Linked DNA regions of Sus scrofa. The main gene of each other region encodes a partner of the protein of the gene in region 3 in a complex. Links are inferred from orthologs where the notes say so. Each region holds a gene or a part of one and is shown on either strand. Other genes may lie near its edges. The genes, in order: CPLX1, SNAP25 and VAMP2.

Region 1 (6,585 bases), on a different chromosome or scaffold from region 3:
CTCGCGCCCCGCTGCCTGCCCCGCCTGACTCCAGGCTGCCTGGCCCCCGCTGTCCCATCCTGCGTCTGTCCCCCTCCAGGCCTGTTTCTCCACATCTCTGCGTCCAGGGTCCACGGCACTGCCTTCCCCTTCTTGGTCTGTGTCTGGCTGTGTCTCCCCTGGGCCCGCCTGTCTCTGGACAGCGTCCCGGGTCTGTCCTGCCTCTGTGTCTGCGGCTCTGCTCTGTCTCTCTCGGCACCGTCTCCCGGTCTCCGTCTGTCTGCCTCTCACCCACACTCATCCCGAGACACCAAAATGACGCCCGCTGGGGGAGAGAAAACTCAGTCTCACGCGGAGCAGCCCCCGCCCCCAGCAGCACTGGGGTGAGGACGGGGTGCGGGCAGGGGGCACGCTGGGCCCGGGGCACCAGGGAGGGGCTGCCTGGAGGTGCCTGGCTGGCTGCACCCCTCCACGCCCAGGCTCCCAAGTGGCTGGTGAAGCCCTCCCCATCGCCATCGAAGGAGAAACTTTGGGCTGACACAGAACAAAGGGAATCCAGGCTGGCAATTACCCTGCTAATTCCAGCCATGTAGACAGCCAAATCAGATATTTCAGTTTTCCTACAAGCCCACCTCAGGCCTGAATTAGCCACCTAATTAATTATCTGTAACAGCCTGGGACTGGCTGGGTGGAACTCGGATCCCTCCTGCTGCCAGGATGCGGCCCGTCCCTGAATCACGTCCCAGTGACGTCATCATTATAATTAGACTCAACCTGCAGCCTATCCTTGACCACAAAATCTCAGGAAGGGTGGCCCTGGGCCAGGCTCAGTCTCTTCGGTTAATTCATGTTGAGTGGAAATGCCGCCACTTTCCAAGAGAAGCCACACGCGGGGCCCCTGTCTGGGCTCTGTGCCACTGGCCCTCGACCCTGCCCCTTGCGCCTAGCGTGACAGCGCCCACGGCACCCCGTCTCTGGTGAGGAGCGCTCAGTCCCTCCTGCCAAGGAGTGGCCTTGTCATGCTTCACCTGGCTCATGCCAGGCTGTGAAAGGCACTGGGTCAGGGCGTGGCCCACAGAGACCACGTGAGGTCCAAGGCTGGTGCCATCACCCAAAGAAGACATCTCTAACCGCAGAGTCAGGCCTGGGTTGCATCTGTACCAGTGTGGACCTCGGCCCGCTGCCCTGCCCACCTCCTGGGCCTGGGTCCCGGCCCACTGCGTTTACCACCTCCCCACCAGGCCAGGGTCTCTGGCCGTGGAGATGGCCTCCAGCCAAGCAGGTACAGGATTCCTTTCAAAAGCAGTCGGCAGGGCCGGAAGGGCTCCCTTCCCCCAGCACACACAAGAGGCTGCACTGCTCCATGGGGGAGGGCACACGAGTTACCCGGGGCCTCTTCTCTTGTCCCTGAGCTCAGCCAGCCCCGGCTCCCTGTACACACTGCTGGCCCCACCCCGGTGACACCATGAAGCCCTTGCTGGATGCCACCAGCCCATCTCTGCTCCTTACCCGCACTCCAGTGGCCGTAGCCACCCTGCAGCCTCTTGCAGCTCTGCTCACCAGAAGCAATGTCCTTGTGGGGGCCACCGGCTCTGGCCAGACTGGCCCCCGTTCCCCTCAACCTACCGTGGGGTGTCCTCCCAAGGCGGGGTGGAGGTGCTTCAGCTCTGCACATCCTGGTACTAGGTGTGCATACCCCCCGCCCCAAAGCTGGCCAAGGTGCTTCGGGAGGGGCTGCCTTTGGTCCCTGCCTCCCCCACTCTGTCCGGAGGGGCCTGCAGTGTGCTTTGGGTGTCATGTGACATTTGTGCTCAACCCCGCGTGTCCGCCTGCTGCTGGGGATGCAGCGGCCCCTCCTACCTCCCAGGGCCTGTTTCATCACGAACTCCATGGCGATGGCTTTGAGTCCTCAGTGGCTCCTTGGAGGGCCGTAGCTCACATTCGAGTGTGGCCAGAAGTCCTCTGCCTGGGGAGAGGACGTGGGCACAAGTCATCCTCCGACAGGGCGGGGGAGGACTTCTTCCTCGCACCTGCCCGGCTTCCCTGGGCATGGGTCTGGGGTCTGAGAGAGCATCATTCATGGTTCCCCCACACCTCAAGGCCAGACCACAGCACTGGGACGGGCACCCGAGGCCCCTGCAAAATAGTCTCCCCTGGCCTTGGGGTTTCTGATGCCAGCTTCTGGCTGCGAATGCAGGGAGGGGGGTGCAGCTCAGAGGAACCAGCCTGCGCCAAGTGGGGCAGGCCCAGGGGCGTTTGGAGGTGACTGGCTCTGCTGCCTCCTTGGTGGAACCCTGGGTCCATCTAAAGGTTGAGACCTGAGTGGGCGCTCCCTTTGGTTCCCAAGGAAAGAGTCTTCGGAGACCAGGTACCATCCAGGGGAGAGGCCGGCACCCAAGGCCACCAGCCCACAGCAGAGACTGAGGTGGAAAGGAGAAACTGCAGGGGGCCCAGCCTTCAGGAAACAAATAAAATGGGGGGGGGGCAGTCCATCCCTCCACATGCACTTGCGTGGATGGGGCTCTCCAGGGTCCAGGCCAGCTGGAGGTCTGGTGGGAGGTGCTTCCTATAAAACCTGCAGCTGCGGTGTGTCCCCTCCCCCCTTGTGAGGTCGCTCCTGGCAGGGAAACCCAGGTCCCTGGAGATGCGCTATTTGCGTTTTTTTCCCCTTCAGACGAAGGAGATCCGCGAGTGTGCGGGCTGCGGAGGGGGCAGGGGGCGGGAGTGCCCCTGCCTGTTCGCAAAGCGCTCGCGCGCAGGGGCGCCCTTGCCGCAACACAGATTCTCTTCCAAACTTCTCCCCTGGCTTCTGGTGGCGGGGTGGGGTGGAGGACTAGGGGGGGAAGAGGAAGCCTCAGGCCCAGACACAGAGAGACCAGGTGCCGCTGGAGCTTCCGCAGCCCTCCCACCGCCGCCCCGCGCGGTTCGGAGCTCCCGCGGCCGCCGTACCCCTTGGCTTTGCAGGAGATCGAGCTGCCCAGCTCAGCCAAGCAGCCCTCAGGCGGGAGCGCGCCAGAACATAGGGAAAAGAGAGAGAGAGAGAGAGAGAGAGAGAGAGAGAGAGAGAGAGGACGAGCGAGGGGAAGGGGAGATTCGAGCGGCAGGAGATGCGGGCCAAGGAGCAGGAAGGAGGGCCGGGACCCTGGAGCCGCTTCAGCACCGCGTCTGCGGACAGCGCCCGCCAGGGGCTCAGTGCGCGCCCAGCCTGGGCCGCGGAGGGGGCCGCAGGGCCGGGGAGGGGGCTGCGCGCGGGGACGCCGGTTACCTTCCCGGGGCCGCAGCGCGGGCGGGCTGGCGGGCGGTCAGCGGCAGAGCGCGCTCGGGCCGGCCGGTTCCATGTGGCGCGCCGGGAACTGCGGCGGCAGCTGAAGGGCACCGCGAGGAGGGCGCGTCACATGGAGGCGCTCCCCGCCCCCCGCCCGCGTCCGAGCGTGACGAGGAGGGCGGGGCAGCGGCGCGGGGCGGGCGCCCGCGGGGCGGGGGGCGGAGCCGCCCCCCACCCCCGCTCCCAAACCCGGCTCCCTGGCCGGATTCGCGGGTCTTGGGGCGCTGTCTCTCCGAGCCGGCGCGCACGACCCCGGCCCACCCATTAGTTCGGAATCCCGGATACGACCCCCAGCCCGCGCCATCCGATCCCCTTGCGCGTGGGTCCCGGGGGCTGCCCTCCCCCCGCGGACAGGGCCCCGCACACCCAACGCCTCCGCCCGTGAGGGGCACCCAGCGGGCGGACGGGTACGCGCGCGACTCCCCTGGGAAAAGTCCTTTCCAGTCCGGCCGCGGGTCGGGGGCGCCGTTTCCCGCGGTCTCCCTTTCTGCCCCCGCGCGCTCGCGAAGGAGTTCCCTGGCGACGGCGGCGACGGCGGTCGCTGTCGGGGTCCCGGACCCGCGCCGCTCTAGGGCCTCCGGCACCGCTGGGCAGGAGAAGGGAGCCCCCAGGCCCTGAAAACCCACACAACCGTTAGCGAGGAGCAGTCTGCACACCGGCCCGGACCTATTTTTCTGTGTAACAGAGTCGCAACGAAAGAGCCCCGCCGTTTCATTTCAGTGGGACAGGGTCCGAGAGACCCCCGCCTCCTCCGCCCCCTCCGCCCCTCCGCCCAGGGCCCCAAGCGAGGCGGGGACGCGCCAAGGTCACTGCGGACTGGCTGTGGCGCTCGCTGTCCCCGCAGCCCCGCCCCCGCGGGGCCGCCCCCTCCCCGGGCCTCCGGGATTTCCTCTGCGGCGGAAGCTGCGCTGCGGGGAGAGCGGGGTCGCTGCAAGGTCGGCGGCTGGGCCTCCGGTCCCGCCGCTGCTCTCGGGGTAGGAAGACTGTTGTGGGAGGGGCCCACGGTTCGGCAGGGGTCTGGGGTCTCTGCTGGCCTCCTGGTCAGCAGGTGGACACCCCTGGTGGCCCTGCGCTTTCCCCATCCCTCCCAGCTGAGTCATCAGGGCTCCTGGGCCTGTGGGGGCAGGGGCAGCTCCTGGAGACCCCCAACCCCAGGAGACCCCTGCTCAGGCCCCTCCCCAGGACTCACAGCCTGAACGCTGGAGGACGTGCCTGCGGGGGGGGGGGGGCTCCCGGGGGGGTGCTCTCCCCCCGCCCCGCGTCTGCTTGGCACCTGGGCTCCCAGCTCCCACCCCCGCCCGCTGTGCCCAGCAGGTGCAGGCAGGGCGGCACAGGCCAGCACTGCTTTGTGCGGGGGGGCAGCGGCACGCTGCACTCTGCATCTGCAGCCTCCCCAGCACTCTATCCATTCCTCCTGCTGATGGCTCCTGTCACCTAGATCGGGGTGAGGAAGTGCCAGGAGGGTGGGTGGGGCAGCTCAGAAGCTGGGGCCCTGGGACACACCCTGGCTGACCCAGGGGTGTGAGGAGTGCCTCCATTGCACCTCTATCCCCACCCTTCGGGGGAGGTGGGCCAAAGCCCCAGGGCTTCTGCAGGTCTGAGGACGGATGGGAGCGGCCGCCTGTTTGCATGTGTCTGAGGGTCTTGAGGGTCCAGCCTGAGCCCACAGGCTCTGCCCAGCCTGGGCCTTTGGTGTCCTGAGAACTTGGGTGTGGATGCCAGAGGGAGAGTGTGGGTCCAGGAAAGGGGCACGTCACTTTCCCCACTAGAGGCCCCCCGCCACTAGGTGGACCTGAGGACTGACCCACAGCTGACCTCCTGATGGTAACCCCGCAGAGGCCCCTGAGGTGACCCCAGCTGAGTCCAGGGCAGCCCCATGACCAATGACCCCAGTGGCCCGTTCAAGGCAGGGAGACACGCCACTGACCTTGGGGCTGCCAGGCTGGGTGTGGGGCTTCGTATGGGCAGGAGAGGGGAGTGCAGGTGTCCGTGAGCACAGGTTCCACCCCCCCCCCCCCCCCCGCCGATCCCGTGGCCCAGGCCTGGCTGAACTCCACACACCCCTGGGGCCCAGAAGCCAGAGGCCCTTCTGCTGGTCCTGCTGCCTGACCTTCTAGCCCTGTCTCTCCTTCCCTCCCTCTCCCTCCCTCTGGGGTCACCATTCAGAGGTCAGGTTTGAAGTCGCCAGCTCTGTCTCCGTCTCTGTGTATCTCTCCTTCCCTCTCTATCCATGTATCTGTCTGTTCCTCTGTCTCTGTCCTTCTGTCTCTCTGGCTCTTCCTCTGTCTCCCTCCATCTCTGTCTGTCTTGGTCTGTTGCTACTCCTCTTAGACCCACTGCACACACAGCTGCCCTCCTCAGACATCCAGGCCCCGGGCTGGGGCGGGGGGTGGGGAGGTGGGGGGCTCCCATGTGAAATAGACAAGGTTGGCCACAGTCCCAGGCCAGGGAGGCCAGGCAGTTGTGGAGTCAGGACTAGGGGCGGGGGGTGGGGGCAGGGGCTCTGGGCAGAAGGTGAGGACGGATGGGCCCAATGGCCACATGGGCTCCGGAGGCGACCCAGCCTCAGGGCCACATCCCAGGAGGCACTCATGGCCCTGTGAGTGCCCCAAAGAGGGCCTGGGTCCTGGACGGGTCCTCCCGAGGCAGGAGCTGAGCAGAAAACATCTGTAACAGCCAAGGGCACCCATCAGGATCCACGGGGCTGGAGACCCAGGATGGTGGTGGGGGCACACCTGTGGGCCGTCGGGGGGTGGCCAGAGGCCAGGCCAGGCAGGAGGAGGGTGCACGGAGCTGGAGAGATGGGGAGGGGTTCCAACCAAGCAGTCAGTTTTGGGGCGCGTGTGTTTGGCCAGAGCCAAACTCCGGGGCCCGGGCCAGCTGGCAGGACAGGGACAGAGCCCCTAGCTCAGTGCCCTGCGTATGCGAAAAATCCAGAAAGTGGCCCTGACAGCCAGGAACCCCTGACCCAAGGCGGGGTTTTGCTAAAGCCAAGGCCGCATGGTCTGAGACCACCCCCCCCGGAGGCCCCCCCGGTAGCCTCCATGGGGTCACTCCAGATGGCAGAGAGGGGAGGCTGCCGCCTTGCTCCAGCCGCCCCCTCCCCCAGCCCCGCGGCAAGCCCCCATCTGATGGCCCTCCACTTCCTCCAGGGAGGCCTGGTGCCTGCTGTCTCCCGAAGCCGCTCCTGTGCCCCAGGACACTCAGGGTTCCTCCAGGTTGTCCTTCAGCCCTGGCAAGAGGGCCGCAGGCCCCGCAGGAAGCACAGGACAAGCTCTGGC
Region 2 (6,485 bases), on a different chromosome or scaffold from region 3:
TCCATTTCATTTTCTCGGGCATCATTTGTTACCCTGGGTATCAAAGAGCAGTTTTTAGAAGATAAAAGAAACTCAAATACCAAGGAGTCAAAGATGAGGGTAAATCTATAGACCTCTAGGTATCAACCCTATACTTTCTGAATCTCCGTTCAACACAGGAACACATTTTAGCTTTTGTACATTACAAGGTACTTTTAAAAATTGCATATTGATAAATTTCTACTTTTATTTTTTATTTTTATTTTTTTTGCTTCTTAGGGCTGCACCCACAGCCTATGGAGGTTCCCAGGCCAGGGGTCGAATCAGAGCTGCAGCTGCTGGCCTACACACAGCCACAGCAACGCAGGATCTGAGCCACATCTTCGACCTACACCACAGACCATGGCAACGCTGGATCCTTAACTCATTGAGTGAGGCCAGGGATTGAACCTGCGTCCTCATGGATCCTAGTCGGGTTCGTTAACCACTGAGCCACAAAGGAAACTCCTAAATTTCTACTTTTAAAGAAGGCATATTAAATAGATTAATTTACCTACTTTTCTAACTTCCACCAACACATCATCATTTCCTCCCTTCATATGTTTATCCCAATTTTCATTTTTTTTTTTTTAAGGGTAAAATCATTTTAGCTGGGAGGATTCTGGGTCAGAGAATGAAGATGGAACTAGTTAGAAACTGTATTTTTCTTTCTGAGATGTCAATCAAAATCTACAAGGGTCAAATTTAGAATGAAAGAGAAAGCTATTGAACTAAGTCACAGAATTTCTCCACCCATCTCCTTCTCCATTTGGGACCAATATCAAAGGGAAGAGGAATGTGAATTATAGTCTGCCCCTTAATCCTTTTTGCTCCCAAGAACTCCAAAGGGAGCTTTTTGTCAAGGTGGTTTTATTTGCTCAGATTTCAATGCTATGGGATTTTTGGTGGCACTGTGAATGGATGATCTCAAAGAAGAAGACTGGGACAGAAAATTACTGTTTCAGTTTAAGTGGGGAGGAAGGACTTGGCTCTCATTTTTTTCATAGTCCAGCTTGAAAGTTAAGAAGTAACTCTTTTTAGGAGTTCCCATCGTGTCGAAGTGGAAAAAATCCGGCTAGGAACCACGAGTTTTCGGGTTCCTTGCTCAGTAGGTTAAGGATCTGGTGTTGCCGTGAGCTGTGGTGTAGGTCATAGACATGGCTTGGATTCTGCATTGCTGTGCCTGTGCCATAGGTCAGCAGCTGTAGCTCCAATTGGCCCCCTAGCCTGGGAACCTCCATATGCCATGGGTGCGGCCCTAAAAAGCAAAAACAACAACAACAACAAAAAACCCTACCAAAAAACATTTTTCTACCACAGATGCTGATGGGCTAAAATATGTTTGGAAGGGTTAACATCCTTCCCCCATGGTAAATCCCAATGCAGATTGTTTCTCTAAGGTTTTAAAACCATTTAAATCCAGATAAAATTAAAAGGGAACTTTCTAGATCTCTTATGTAGAAAAAAAGAAGCTTATTTAAATGATCATCAGCAGCTGAGACATACTTCTAATTCCATGGTCCTCAGCCCTCTTTGCATTTCAGAATTACCTGAGCAGCTTTAAAACTACTGATATCCATGTCTCATTTCTAGAGATTCTGATTCACTGGGTTTGGATTAAGCCCAGGCACTGATACTTTTAAAAAATTGCACAGTTATTCTAATATGCAGTTAGGTTTGAGGACCCCTGGTCTAGTTTCCCTGGGAGCAGACAGAAACATGAATAGAATTGTCATCTGTGAAGTTCTGGGTAGACATCTGGACATTTATACATAAAGAGCAGTGACTCATCTTTTGAATCTGGGTATATAGATGGTTGATCAAACAGCTACCCTAGTTACTGCTGAGTCCTAGGGTAGTAACCTGCAAAAAAGAATAACTTTTCCCTTTTTTTTTTTTGGCAACAGGACTATTTGTTATTATTATTATTTTCTGATCTCTTGGGAGCTGAGTTTTAAATCAGCAGATGTGTGATTTGAGATTTTTAAATAGAGGTTAAATTAGCTTTTGTTTCCAGATCTCATAGGACCTGCTTAAGAAGTCAGGTCTCCTCATTATTCTCTGTGTGTACCCCTTGATCTGTTCTCTGGCTCAGAGGCTGACCTCTCTACAACCCTATCACCCAGGTTCTCTTATTTTGACTTTCTGTGGCCTCTGGCCAATGGCCATTGAGGGACCGGAGGGCAAGAGGCTGAGGGGTTGGGGCACTTATTTCCCTTTCTTGTTTCCTGCTGGGTCTACAGTTGCTGAATCTCAACATATAGCCCCTGCCCACAGATGTAATTCCTCTTGGCTTCTGGTGATAGATTGCTCCTGGCCAGTTAGGACCCTTCCTGGCTATTGCTAGTTCCTAAGTGCTTCACCGTTCCTTGTTATTGACACTGCCCACACCTCTGTAAACAATCTCTTTAGTAACTTCTGTCCAACTGAACTCATGAAATGAGACACCTCCTTACTACTGCGCTGGTGTTGGATGTGGTCATGTGACTTGGTTTGTCTCACGAAACGTGGGCAAAGGTTTGATAAATCCTGTGCATCAGAGTCTACTGCTGAGGTTGTTGCCCCCACCATGCAAGAAACCTGGGCTTTACTGTTGGAGAGGCCACGGAGAGGAAAAGAGAGGCCCTCAGTGACAGCCCCAGCCGACCACCAGATAAACAATAAGGCCATCTTGGATCATCCTACACCCAGTTATATATAATGAGTGAGCCCAGGAGAGGCTCTCGGAAGAACTGCTCAGCCAACGAAAAGATTCAGAGAGTTCTCTGCGGCACAGTGGGTTAAGGATCTGGTGTTGTAACTGCAGCAGCTTGAGTTACTGCTGTGGCTCAACTTCAGTCTCTGGCTCGGGAACTTCCACATGCCTTGGGTGTGGCAAAAAAAAAAAAATTCGGAAGTAATAAAAGTGAGAGTTCCCGCCATGGCTCAGCAGAAGTGAATCTGACTAGAAACCATGAGGTAGTGGGTTCAATCCCTGGCCTCGATCACTGGGTTGGGGATCCAGCGTTGCCATGAGCTGTGGTATAGGTCGAAGATGTGGTTCAGATCTGACGTTTCTGTGCCTGTCGTGTAGGCAGGCGGCTACACCTCCAGTTCAACCCCTCGGCTGGGAACCTCCGTATGCCACAGGTGGGGCCCTAAAAAGCAAAAAAAAAAAAAAGTAATAAAATGATTGTTTTAAGAACCACTCAGTTTGAGGTGGTTTGTCCCTAAAAAGTAGATAACTGACCTCATACCAGTCAGAATGGCCATCATCAAAAAGTCTACAAACAATAAATGCTGAAGAGGGTGTGGAGAAAAGGGAACACTCCTACCCTGTTGGTGGGCATATAAGTTGGTACCACCATTATGGATAACAGTATGGAGGATCCTTAAAGTAAATATAGAATTACTAGAGTTCCTGCTGTGGCTCAGCAGTAACAAACCCAATAAGGACTTGGGTTCAATCCTTAGCCTCACTCAGTGGGTTAAGGATCTGACATGAGTTGTGGTGTAGGCCACAGACACAGCTCCAATCTTGCATTGCTGTGGCTGTGGTGTAGGTGGGAAGCTGTAGCTCCAACCAGACCACTAGTCTGGGAACTTCCATATGCTGCATGTGTGGTCCCAAAAAGCAAAAAAATAAAAATAAAAATAAATAAATAAAAAATAAATATAGAACTACCATGTGATCCAGCAATCTCACTCCTGGACATATATTTGGAGAATACCATATTTCAAAAATATACATGCACTCCAATGTTCATGGCAGTACTATTTATAATAGCCAAGACATGGAAGCAACCTAAGTGTCCATCAACAAAGAATTAGATAAAGAAGATGTAGTACATATGTACAATGGAATATTACTCAGCCAAAAAAAAGAATGAAAGAATGCCATTTGCATCCCCATGGATGGACCTAGAGATGATCATACTAAGTGAAGCAAGTGAGACAAAGAAAGAGAAATATCACATGAGATCATTAATACATGGTATCTAATAAAAACAGTACAAAAGAACGTATTCATAAAACAGAAACAGACCCAAAGATTTCAAAACCAAACTTATGGTTACCAAAAGGGAAATGCTATGGGGAGGGATGAACTGGGAGGTTGGGAGTGGCATGTACACACTATTATTTATAAAATTGGTAAGTAACAAAGACCTACTGTATAGCACAAGGGAATGTACCCAATACTCTGTAATTACCTATATGGGAAAAGAACCTGAAAAAGAATGGATATATGTATACGTAGAACTGATTCACTTTACTGTATAACTGAAGGTAACATAACACCACAAGTCAACTATACTCCATTAAAATTTTGAAAAATCAGGTAATTGTTATAATGCTGGCTGCACTAGGCTCACCTGCGGATGAAGCCACCACTGATGGCCATCTGCTCCCGTTCGTCCACCACACGAGCAGGCTGGCTGGCCACAACTCCATCCTGATTATTGCCCCAGGCTTTTTTGTAAGCATCACTTGATTTAAGCCTATGCAAAAAAGAGGGTGAGTGACCAGCAAAGGGGGTGGAGCATCAAGCTCACAACAATGGTTCCCTCTTCAAGCTAAGAATCGAACCAAGCAAATGAGTTTTAATTTGAGGCATCAGAGAATACCGATATATCATAATCCGGACCCAAACAGTTGGCCACCACCATGCCTCAGCTACTCAGGATTTTCATTTCCAATCAAGTCAACTGCAATTGTCAAGATGGCAAACTTTGCCCATAGGTTGTTCTTTGTTTTGGTTTGTTTTTGTTGGATTTAAGACAAGATTTAAGGTAGCTGGAGGACATTCAGTTCTATTTCAATGACAAGGTTCTATTTTGAGACACAAAACACACAGAAGAAACATACTGGCAGACAGACACAAAACAAGACTGCCAAGTAGAGTGTGTACATCACACCACAGCAACGCACTGGCATCAAAAAAAACATACTGGACCAAGTTTTTACACACCATCATGCAAAGATTCCCTGTTTTAATTTTTTTTCCCTCAAGGCATTTGTGGAACCAAGCATTCCCACTCTGCATGGAGCACATAAAGGACTGGTGGTTGGCCAAGGGTGATGGTCTTTGAGTTGCCTCTAGAGTGATTTGAATTAGATAATATATCGGTACTTCCAAACAGTCACCATACATCCAGAGTCGATGTACAAACCTTTGTCCACAGAGACAAAAAGTAAAAGAGGCGTAGTGAAATGAATGCAGGAAAATAGAAGAGAGAACAAGCCATCTAGCACCAAAAAAAGGGAAATCCCTCTACATCTTCTTCATGCACCAGCTACAGGCATGAGTAGAAAGTGAAGCATTCTCATTTAAGCCAAACTACTCCAGAAGTTGATCATTCTCAAAAAGGCACTAGCAGGACAGTAATAGCCTTCATGAAGATTTGAAACGCAGGTTCAATAGCTTCTTTGTTGGGCAGCGGGGCAGGCTGGGAGTGGTTACAAACTCCTACTTAAACTATGCTGGGGTCAGGTAGGGGAAGAGTAGTCTGGAAAGGGTGTGGTCTCCGTGGGCCATATTTCACTGAGCTGCCTTGGAGAGAGACTTAAAATCCAGGCATACCTGTTGTGCCCAATAGAAACATGTGCAGCATATTTTGGTGGGTGTGTTGTAATTGTGCCATCAAAGATGTTTTTAGGTTCTTTGCATAGTAGAAACCACACGCTTTTTAGTCCAAGAACAGAACTTTCTTTGGTCCCATTTTCACATTTTCTATGATAAGGCACCAGAATTTAGCTTCTTTCTTTCTTTTTTCTTTTACTGGAGGACCATAGCCATCTATTAAAACTGGCTCTACCACTAATATTTGCAGACTGGGGACCAAGCAACCCTGGAGACAAATTGGAAAACTGTCCAAATGAAATTTCAGCGACTCCCATAATCTGATGTATCATGAATGCCACAACCCCTGCAGCAGTCCAAATTCGCTGCTAAGAGCCAGGAGCCCACTTAGTGGGACAAAATCCAAAAACGAATTTAATAGAGTTTAAAGTCTGGTTCCCCCTTCCTCCAAATCCCCATCCCCTCCCTCCTCATATTAGAAGAAGTTACCTGGACCTTGTGATGCTTTCTGCTATGTAAAATGTCTGGTATACCATCTTTGGCAGAGTCAAGGGGGTTGGGGAGGTTTGCGTTTCTGAACGAAGGCGAATCACTGCACCCACAATGCTGCACATAGACTCACATAAGTGCTGGACATCTACCATAGTCCTTCGAAACATGCAGAGACAGGGCGAAGCCCTCAGAGAGTCCAGGGCACCACCAGCCACTGCGTTGTGACACATGGTTTTTAAAGCATTATTTACACACAATAGGGAACATTTCAGTCAAGCTTTGAAGCTCAGTTAGGGTCTCTTGTGCAATAAGGAATTAGTGCCAACTAGTATGTGGAATTTGTAGGGGCCGTCATTTCATCTTTATATTGGAATCCATCCCGGGGAGTGAGGGGGCCTGCCTCCACCCTTTCTCC
Region 3 (6,585 bases):
ATTTCCAGGTGAACTGGGTCTCCCCATCCCTCCTCTTCTCCTGCCTCCAGCACTCATCAAAATTTGGGGAGTTCCTTAGCACACCAGCAAAGGTGGGGTGGGTGGAGAGGGCTGCTCAATGAGAGTCCTGTCTTCAAGATAAATCCTCCTGAGACTCCGCCTCCATGGATCATACACAGCCTCACCCAGGGTGGGCACTGAACCCATGCCACAGCAGCGACCCAAGGATCCTTAACCCACTGTGCCACAAGAGAACTCCATGCTCCCATCTCGATTCTGCTGCTGCCGCCCCCAGACTCTGAGGGCAACAGCAATGTGCCAGCTTTCCAAGCCACACCCCATGGCCTTAGCTCCTCCAATTTATCCCAGGTTCTGTCCCTTGCACGTCCCCTGGACTTGACCATCCAGGAATGGGGATCACTCCTAACCCCCTGTCTAACATCTTGTTTGGTCCTCCACTGGTTGCCCCCTGCCAGCTTAGGGTGTTGGGACAGGGTGGCGGTGGGAAGTCCAGCCTCTTTGTATCTCCTTCCAACCTTAATCTGTCTTAGACACAGACACCACAGCTTTTGAACTTAAAAGCCTGGAATCTGGCATTTTTGTTCTCTAGCTAGAAAGCAGAGTAGTCTCAGGGCCAAAAAGCAAGAGCTAGCCCCCTGCAGCGTCATCTAGGACCCTCAGGGAAGCTGTTCTTTTCTTCCTTTTCACATTGACTGAGCCACCCAGACACTGTGTGTGTGTGTGTGTGTGTGTGTGTGTGTGTGTGAGTGCATGGGACCAGGGCAGTGGCAGCGCCCAGGAGGGGGAGAAGCTGAGAGCATCGCATCTTAGATCTGCTGAGTCCCCGCACCCCGCACACACTCCCTGTTCACTCACCTCCCCCACACAGCTGGGAAATGACACCTCTGGTGACAGAGCCTGGCCCAGGCTTCTGCTGGGAGGGGGTGGGGTGCTGCATGGGGGAGGTTGTCACACCCGGAGGCCCTGGGAGGCCTGGGTGGGGGAGGGAGGAAGCCAGCTCCTGTTTGTCTCAGAGACCAAGGCCACCAGCCCCCTCTGCCCACTTCCAGGGTTGCAGTGAGCACCCTCGCTCCAGGGCCACTAGCCACCCCCCCCCCAAGGTACCACCTTCTTTACTCTTTAGGCTGATCTGACCTACCCCACAGGACAGGCAGCTCACCTGTTCTCAGCCTGTCCTCTCTGAGGGGACCAGTCCTGCTGAGAATGAGCAGAGGGGGTGTGTGAACTGCTGGGTCTGTTTGGAGGATCTAAACAGAGACAAGTCAGGGATGGAAGGGGCCGGGGATAATCTCCTACCATGTCCCGGATCAAGCCATTTAACAAATACCCCTGTAGTGTCTAGTATGTAATCTATTTGGGGTCCAGAGACAGGCAAAGGGCTATCCAAGGTCACTCCCAGGAGGCAGGGACTGCCTTTGCCTCCTTACTGTCCTGCCCCCCCAGGGAAAAAACAAAACGTAAAAGCTAAAGTTCTGTCCTTTCGCCTGGGGTCAGAGGCTGAGCCCTCCCGCTGCAGGGTAGCTGATCCAACTCTGGGTCAGAGCCAGGTTTGGGCCAGTCTGCAGGCGCACCTGAAGCAGCGCCACGGGGCAGCCTCTTGCCTTCCTCCTAGGCCCCTAAGCTTGCCTCTTGTCGGTCAGGCCCAGGCTGCCAAGGACCCCTGGTCTGAACCCCAGCTGTGAGGAGAGAGTTCCTTGTCCCAGACCTCCTTTGAGATCTCCACCTGCGGGCAAGCTTTGGGGACCAGCTGCCACCACTCCACCTCAGCCGCGGGGTCTCGCCTGTCTGCATCGCCCCGGAACCTGCACGTGACCCTTCTGATTTCCCATCTCCCGCCCGTATCTGAAATGCCGAAGACCGGTCAACAGGCGTTGGGACCGTGGGGGCGGGCTGAGACCTGGGTCGGGGTGGGGTGCGGACGGGTCTCACGGAGGAGGTGTTTGGGGCCGAGGGGTGCCATCAGGGCCGGGCCATGGGTGTGGGTAGGCCGCGGCCCCCAGGCTCGGGCCGTGGAGGGAGAGGCCGGGGGCCCCGCCTCGCGGGCCCCGCCGCGGGCGGGCTGCGCTCCCCGCGCCCCGCCCCCACGCCCCGCCCCCGCGGCCCGGCTGCCGCCGAGTGGCCCGCGGCGCCCCGCCCCCGCCCGCAGTGCCCGGATGTGGGTGACGTGCGGCCGCCATCTTCCCGTCCCGGGCAGCCAGCGCCAGTCGGAGCCAGCGCGAGCCGCCGCCGCCGCCACCGCCACCCCTGCTGCTGCCAAGTCCTCCGCCCGCTGCCCCCGCCATGTGAGTCGGCCGCCTGCGCCCGCCCCGGCTGCCCGCGCCGGCCGCCGCCCCTGCGTCCGAGCCTGGGAAGGGCTCGGGGTCCAGCCCGCGCCCCCCGCGCGCCCGGAGGCCAGGCCGGCGCCCGTGACGGCGCGCGGGCAGCCGGAGAGCCCCGGGTCCCCGGCCGGCCGCGCGGGCGCTGGCGCCGGAGGGAGCAGACGCAGGGTCCGCCCGCCCCGCCCCTGTCATCGCTGCCGCCTTTCATTGCGGGTCCCCCCGACCGTGGCTGTGAGGTCGCCCTCATTTGACAGGCGGGGAAACTGAGGCCCGGAGGGGGGAGGGGGCCTCCCTCAAGGTCACGCGGCCGCTTGCCCGCGGGGCCGGGCGAAGGCCATGGCTCCCTTCGGGTGGCTCTCCTCCCGAGAAGGAGGAAGGGGGGCACGGATGGATGGACAGACGGATGGGCGGAGCCCTCGCTGCGGGGCCGAGGGCTCCAGGGCCTGGATCTTAATCCGTCGGTGCCCCTCAGGTCGGCAACCGCTGCGACCGCACCCCCCGCCGCCCCAGCTGGGGAGGGAGGCCCCCCCGCGCCCCCTCCAAACCTCACCAGTAACAGGAGACTGCAGCAGACCCAGGCCCAGGTGGATGAGGTGAGTTGTGGGGGGGGCAGAGGCAGTGGGAACGACCCTGAGGATGGCAAAGCGGTCTGGGGGTCCATCGTGGGTTGAGGGTGATGGCAGTTCACGTTTTCGCGTTCGGAGACAAAAACATACCAAGCCGCGTTCCTGACGTCGTGTAATTGGGAGGGCCGTGGGGTGTTAGCCTTGCTGGCCTGCGCCGTTTCACCCTGGGCGGGTGTGCTCTCGTGACCCGCAGGCTGCTTGAGGCTCGGTAAATAGAGGGTGCTGCTGTGATATGAGATGTCTGGCCACCAGCATGCCTCTGACGTGTGCTCCTTGCATGTCCCCAGGTGTGCTGGGCATGCTCCGCATATGTTGTTGCATGTCAGCCAGACAGCCCTAGGGTGCATGTCTCGTACGTGGGCTCCTGGCTGAGGAGAGCCCTTTGAGATGGGTCTCCCCCCCCCATCCCCGCGCCCTTCCCGCAGGTGGTGGACATTATGAGGGTGAACGTGGACAAGGTCCTGGAGCGGGACCAGAAGCTGTCGGAACTGGACGACCGCGCCGACGCACTCCAGGCGGGGGCCTCCCAGTTTGAAACAAGTGCAGCCAAGCTCAAGCGCAAATATTGGTGGAAAAACCTCAAGGTAAGGGTGGAGGCCGGAGGAGTGGTGGGTGGCCGGGAGTGTCCCCGCCTGTCTCCCTGACCGGCCCTTCTCGCCCCCAGATGATGATCATCTTGGGAGTGATTTGCGCCATCATCCTCATCATCATCATTGGTGAGTCGGGCGGGAGTGGCCGGGCCCCTTTGTTGGAGAGGTTTCCCCCCTGACGTCTGGGTTTTGAAGGTCATTAACCTCGTTTTTACTATTCAGCAAAGAGCACACAGAGCTGCCAATAGCAGTTCTGATTCATCTAGCACCCCAAACCTCAATGTTGTTGAGCTTGTACTTTGCCTGGTTCTGGGCAATTTCTGGTAAGATTTTTGGAAACCGGAAAGCCGGTGGAGATCTCCACTGCTCCCTTGAGGACCCTTTGGGTTTGTCCAGTATGGGAACCCTGGAATTGGGGTGTGGGGGAGCAGCGAAGACTCAGGGGCTTGAGAAATGGCTAGGAAGCCAACCACCCTATTGGTTGAGAGCTGTGGTCTCAGAGGCTCCGAGGATTCGGGGTCTGTGGCCCCAAAGCCATACCGTGACGTTGAGGAGACCTTGAAGCTGACCTGTGCAGCTTCCTTGCTTTACAGATGGAGGATCTGAGACCAGGAGGGGAAGGGACGGTCAGCCAGCTGGGAGGTGGGGAAGGTGGGAGCAGGGCCGGGCCTGACACGCTGCTTTCTCTCTTTCTCTTTCTTTCTCCCCTCTTCTTCCTTCTCTTTCCCTCTCTGCAGTTTACTTCAGCTCTTAAACCCCTGAGGAGCCTGCCCTGCCCAGAGAAGGGCCTCTCCCCCCCATCCCCAGCCGCTCCTCCACCTCTCAGCCATATCTTCCAGCCCCCTCCTCCCCCGGGATCCGCGTGTGTGTGTCGTGTGTGTGCCCCCTTGTAAATAGCCAGCTGTTATTTATACATATATAATATTATATATATTTGGTCTGTTTGTAGTTTTATTACTAGAAGATTTTTCCGGTTGTCCTTAACACCCCTTCCTGAGGTTCCCATCGCCTCCTTTTGCCCCTCCTCTCCTCTCCTTTCCCTCTCTTCCTCACCGGCCCCAACTCCCTTCATTTGCATCTGCTATGCAATAGTCCCTCTTCCTCCCCTCCTTCCCTTGGATTTAGCTGATCCTTCCTCCCGCCCTGGTCTTCCCCATACACCCCCTCACCCCACCCCACCCCCCGACAAAAAAAAAAAAAAGAAAAGCAGCTGTCCAGGACTCCCTAGGTGCATCTTCTTTGCATCATTGGGAGGCTCTGAGACTGGTCCCTTTTGGTCCTAAGAATCCCAAGGTCTTCTGGGAGCTTCCAGCATGTTAATTAGCATCATTTGCATACTGACATCCCTTTTGGTTTCCTTTTTTTCTCCATCAGGCTTCTGTTCATTCTTTCAACTTGTGTTTCTTTTTTACTGAGGAGTTAGTCCCTATTGGTCTGGTCCTTGTATCACACTTTTCATTTGCATGACATTACTTGCAGGTGGTAGGGAGCCTGGGCATTGGGGGTGTCAGGCTGTTCTGGCCCCCAGAATTGCCCTCTCCGAGCCCCTCCAGTCCAGTTTGCCTCCCCTTCCCCGATTTTCCAAACCTCTTGTCCCTCCTTCCCCTCCCCCCAGCTGGTGTGTACGTGTCTTGGAGTTCAGTGTGTTATGATGGACCAATAATTCTGCCACTTGGAGTCTCTCCCCACATTCCTGCTCCCCAGTTTTCAAGTGGGGTGCTCAATTGACATTCCCATGGGGTCTCCCTCCCTCCCATCTGCCTGACCCGCCTCCTCCTCCTCCCAGCAGGAGAGTTGGGGGTTGGCCACAATCTGATTTTTCTTGGGAGAGGTGGCTACCTGTGTGTGTGGGGTCATCACTGCCTTGGGGAGGAGTGGGGCAGGGCAAAGAATCCTCCCAATTCCTGCCTGAAATCTCTGGCCCCACCCCTGCTGGGGGTTTGACTGAAAGCCCTCCTCACCCATTTGGGGGGTGTTGCCCTATCAGCTCCTCTGATTGCCCCCCTGAATTCGGGGCAGGGGTTTTAGTCACTGCCAATGTGTGTGTGGGACTTGCCGGAAGGTGGTGATTCTTTCCCCTCTCCAGGGTGGTGGAGCCCAGAGAGAGCTGTCTCCTCCTTAGGTGAAATGATAAGGAAGGATGTAACGTCTTTTTTAATGGCACAATTTTGGGGGTCTGAGGGTGCAGTCCCTTAACCTGCCACTGGAAGGGACCGCCTAAACTCTTCCCCCCACACTCAAAGGTTTCTGTGTGGAGGGGGAGCAGGGAGATCAAAGCTGTGTTGTGAAAGGGTAGGGAAAGATGCTGGGGGTGGGGGTGCTGTGTTCTAGACCCCCTTATTATCCCAGTGTCCCCTGCCCCGCCTTCCCTCACCCCATGCCCCCAATTCTGTGGCGCATCCAGATTGTGAAAATGTACAATAAATGTGTAATGAGTAACCAGGTGGTGGTTTAAGATCTTTTCCTAACCAGTGGGAAGGGTGTTGGATCTGCAGGTAAAACAAGAAGGTTGAGAAGATACATCTGGAAGAGACTGAGCTTTGCCAAGGAACCTGACCTTGGGCAGGGCAAAGTGTGATCCCAAAAGTGGCCACAAGGGGGCACCAGGAATCGATAATGTGTTCATGAGCCCAGGGCCTCAGCCTGGTGAACCCTGCGGTCTGGGCTTCTCAGCTTTCCCCCCATTCCTTTTCTGAGGGCATTTTGCTGTTTCTTGGATCCCTTTCTACTCCTTGACTTAACTCTCAGGTGTTACGCAGTTGCTCCTGTGGTCATTTACTCCTAGACCTGAAATAGGTGGACAACTGGGAAACATCTCTTCCCCTTTGTGCCTAGAACAGTGCTAACATCCAGAAGGGTTAATAAATACTAATTGAACAAAACGGCTCAGGGAGACAGAGGTGAGTGTGGTGTGGAGTCGGCTGCAGGGCTTGCCACCCCTGCCCTGTGTGCAGTCAGACTGGTGACTCTGGACCCCCACACTGAACTCTTAATCTCCAGCAACAAATGCAGCCGATGTGGTACCCTTGC

Evidence for each region.
Region 1: the proteins of VAMP2 (region 3) and CPLX1 are in contact, whole or in part, in a crystal structure (PDB 1KIL), measured with the Rattus norvegicus proteins. The link is inferred for Sus scrofa from reciprocal best matches to the Homo sapiens genes VAMP2 and CPLX1. Residues at the interface, in NP_036795.1 of Rattus norvegicus: Arg47, Val50, Asp51, Leu54, Asp57, Gln58, Ser61, Asp64, Asp65, Asp68, Ala69, Gln76; in NP_074055.1 of Rattus norvegicus: Leu41, Arg48, Tyr52, Glu56, Arg59, Glu60, Met62, Arg63, Ile66, Arg67, Tyr70, Gly71, Ile72.
Region 2: the proteins of VAMP2 (region 3) and SNAP25 are in contact, whole or in part, in a crystal structure (PDB 1SFC), measured with the Rattus norvegicus proteins. The link is inferred for Sus scrofa from reciprocal best matches to the Homo sapiens genes VAMP2 and SNAP25. Residues at the interface, in NP_036795.1 of Rattus norvegicus: Asn25, Thr27, Ser28, Asn29, Arg30, Arg31, Leu32, Thr35, Gln38, Val39, Glu41, Val42, Ile45, Met46, Asn49, Lys52, Val53, Glu55, Arg56, Lys59, Leu60, Glu62, Leu63, Arg66, Ala69, Leu70, Gly73, Ala74, Gln76, Phe77; in NP_112253.1 of Rattus norvegicus: Gly131, Gly132, Phe133, Ile134, Arg135, Arg136, Asn139, Leu150, Glu151, Ser154, Ile157, Gly158, Leu160, Arg161, Ala164, Leu165, Met167, Gly168, Ile171, Asp172, Gln174, Asn175, Ile178, Asp179, Ile181, Met182, Ala185, Asp186, Asn188, Lys189.

Annotation. Positions count from the first base shown.
Region 1 is NC_010450.4:227,873-234,457, forward strand, and holds the start of CPLX1 (complexin-1), read right to left. Parts: upstream 3,850-6,585; 5' UTR 3,729-3,849; intron 3,402-3,728; exon of another isoform or gene 3,245-3,401; intron 1,946-3,244; 5' UTR 1,871-1,945; coding exon 1,840-1,870; intron 1-1,839. UniProt on the Homo sapiens protein: Positively regulates a late step in exocytosis of various cytoplasmic vesicles, such as synaptic vesicles and other secretory vesicles.
Region 2 is NC_010459.5:19,212,972-19,219,456, reverse strand, and holds part of SNAP25 (synaptosomal-associated protein 25), read right to left. Parts: intron 4,497-6,485; coding exon 4,371-4,496; intron 34-4,370; coding exon 1-33.
Region 3 is NC_010454.4:53,377,819-53,384,403, reverse strand, and holds VAMP2 (vesicle-associated membrane protein 2), read left to right. Parts: upstream 1-2,160; 5' UTR 2,161-2,301; coding exon 2,302-2,303; intron 2,304-2,811; coding exon 2,812-2,932; intron 2,933-3,390; coding exon 3,391-3,549; intron 3,550-3,629; coding exon 3,630-3,681; intron 3,682-4,292; coding exon 4,293-4,309; 3' UTR 4,310-5,997; downstream 5,998-6,585. UniProt on the Homo sapiens protein: Involved in the targeting and/or fusion of transport vesicles to their target membrane. Major SNARE protein of synaptic vesicles which mediates fusion of synaptic vesicles to release neurotransmitters.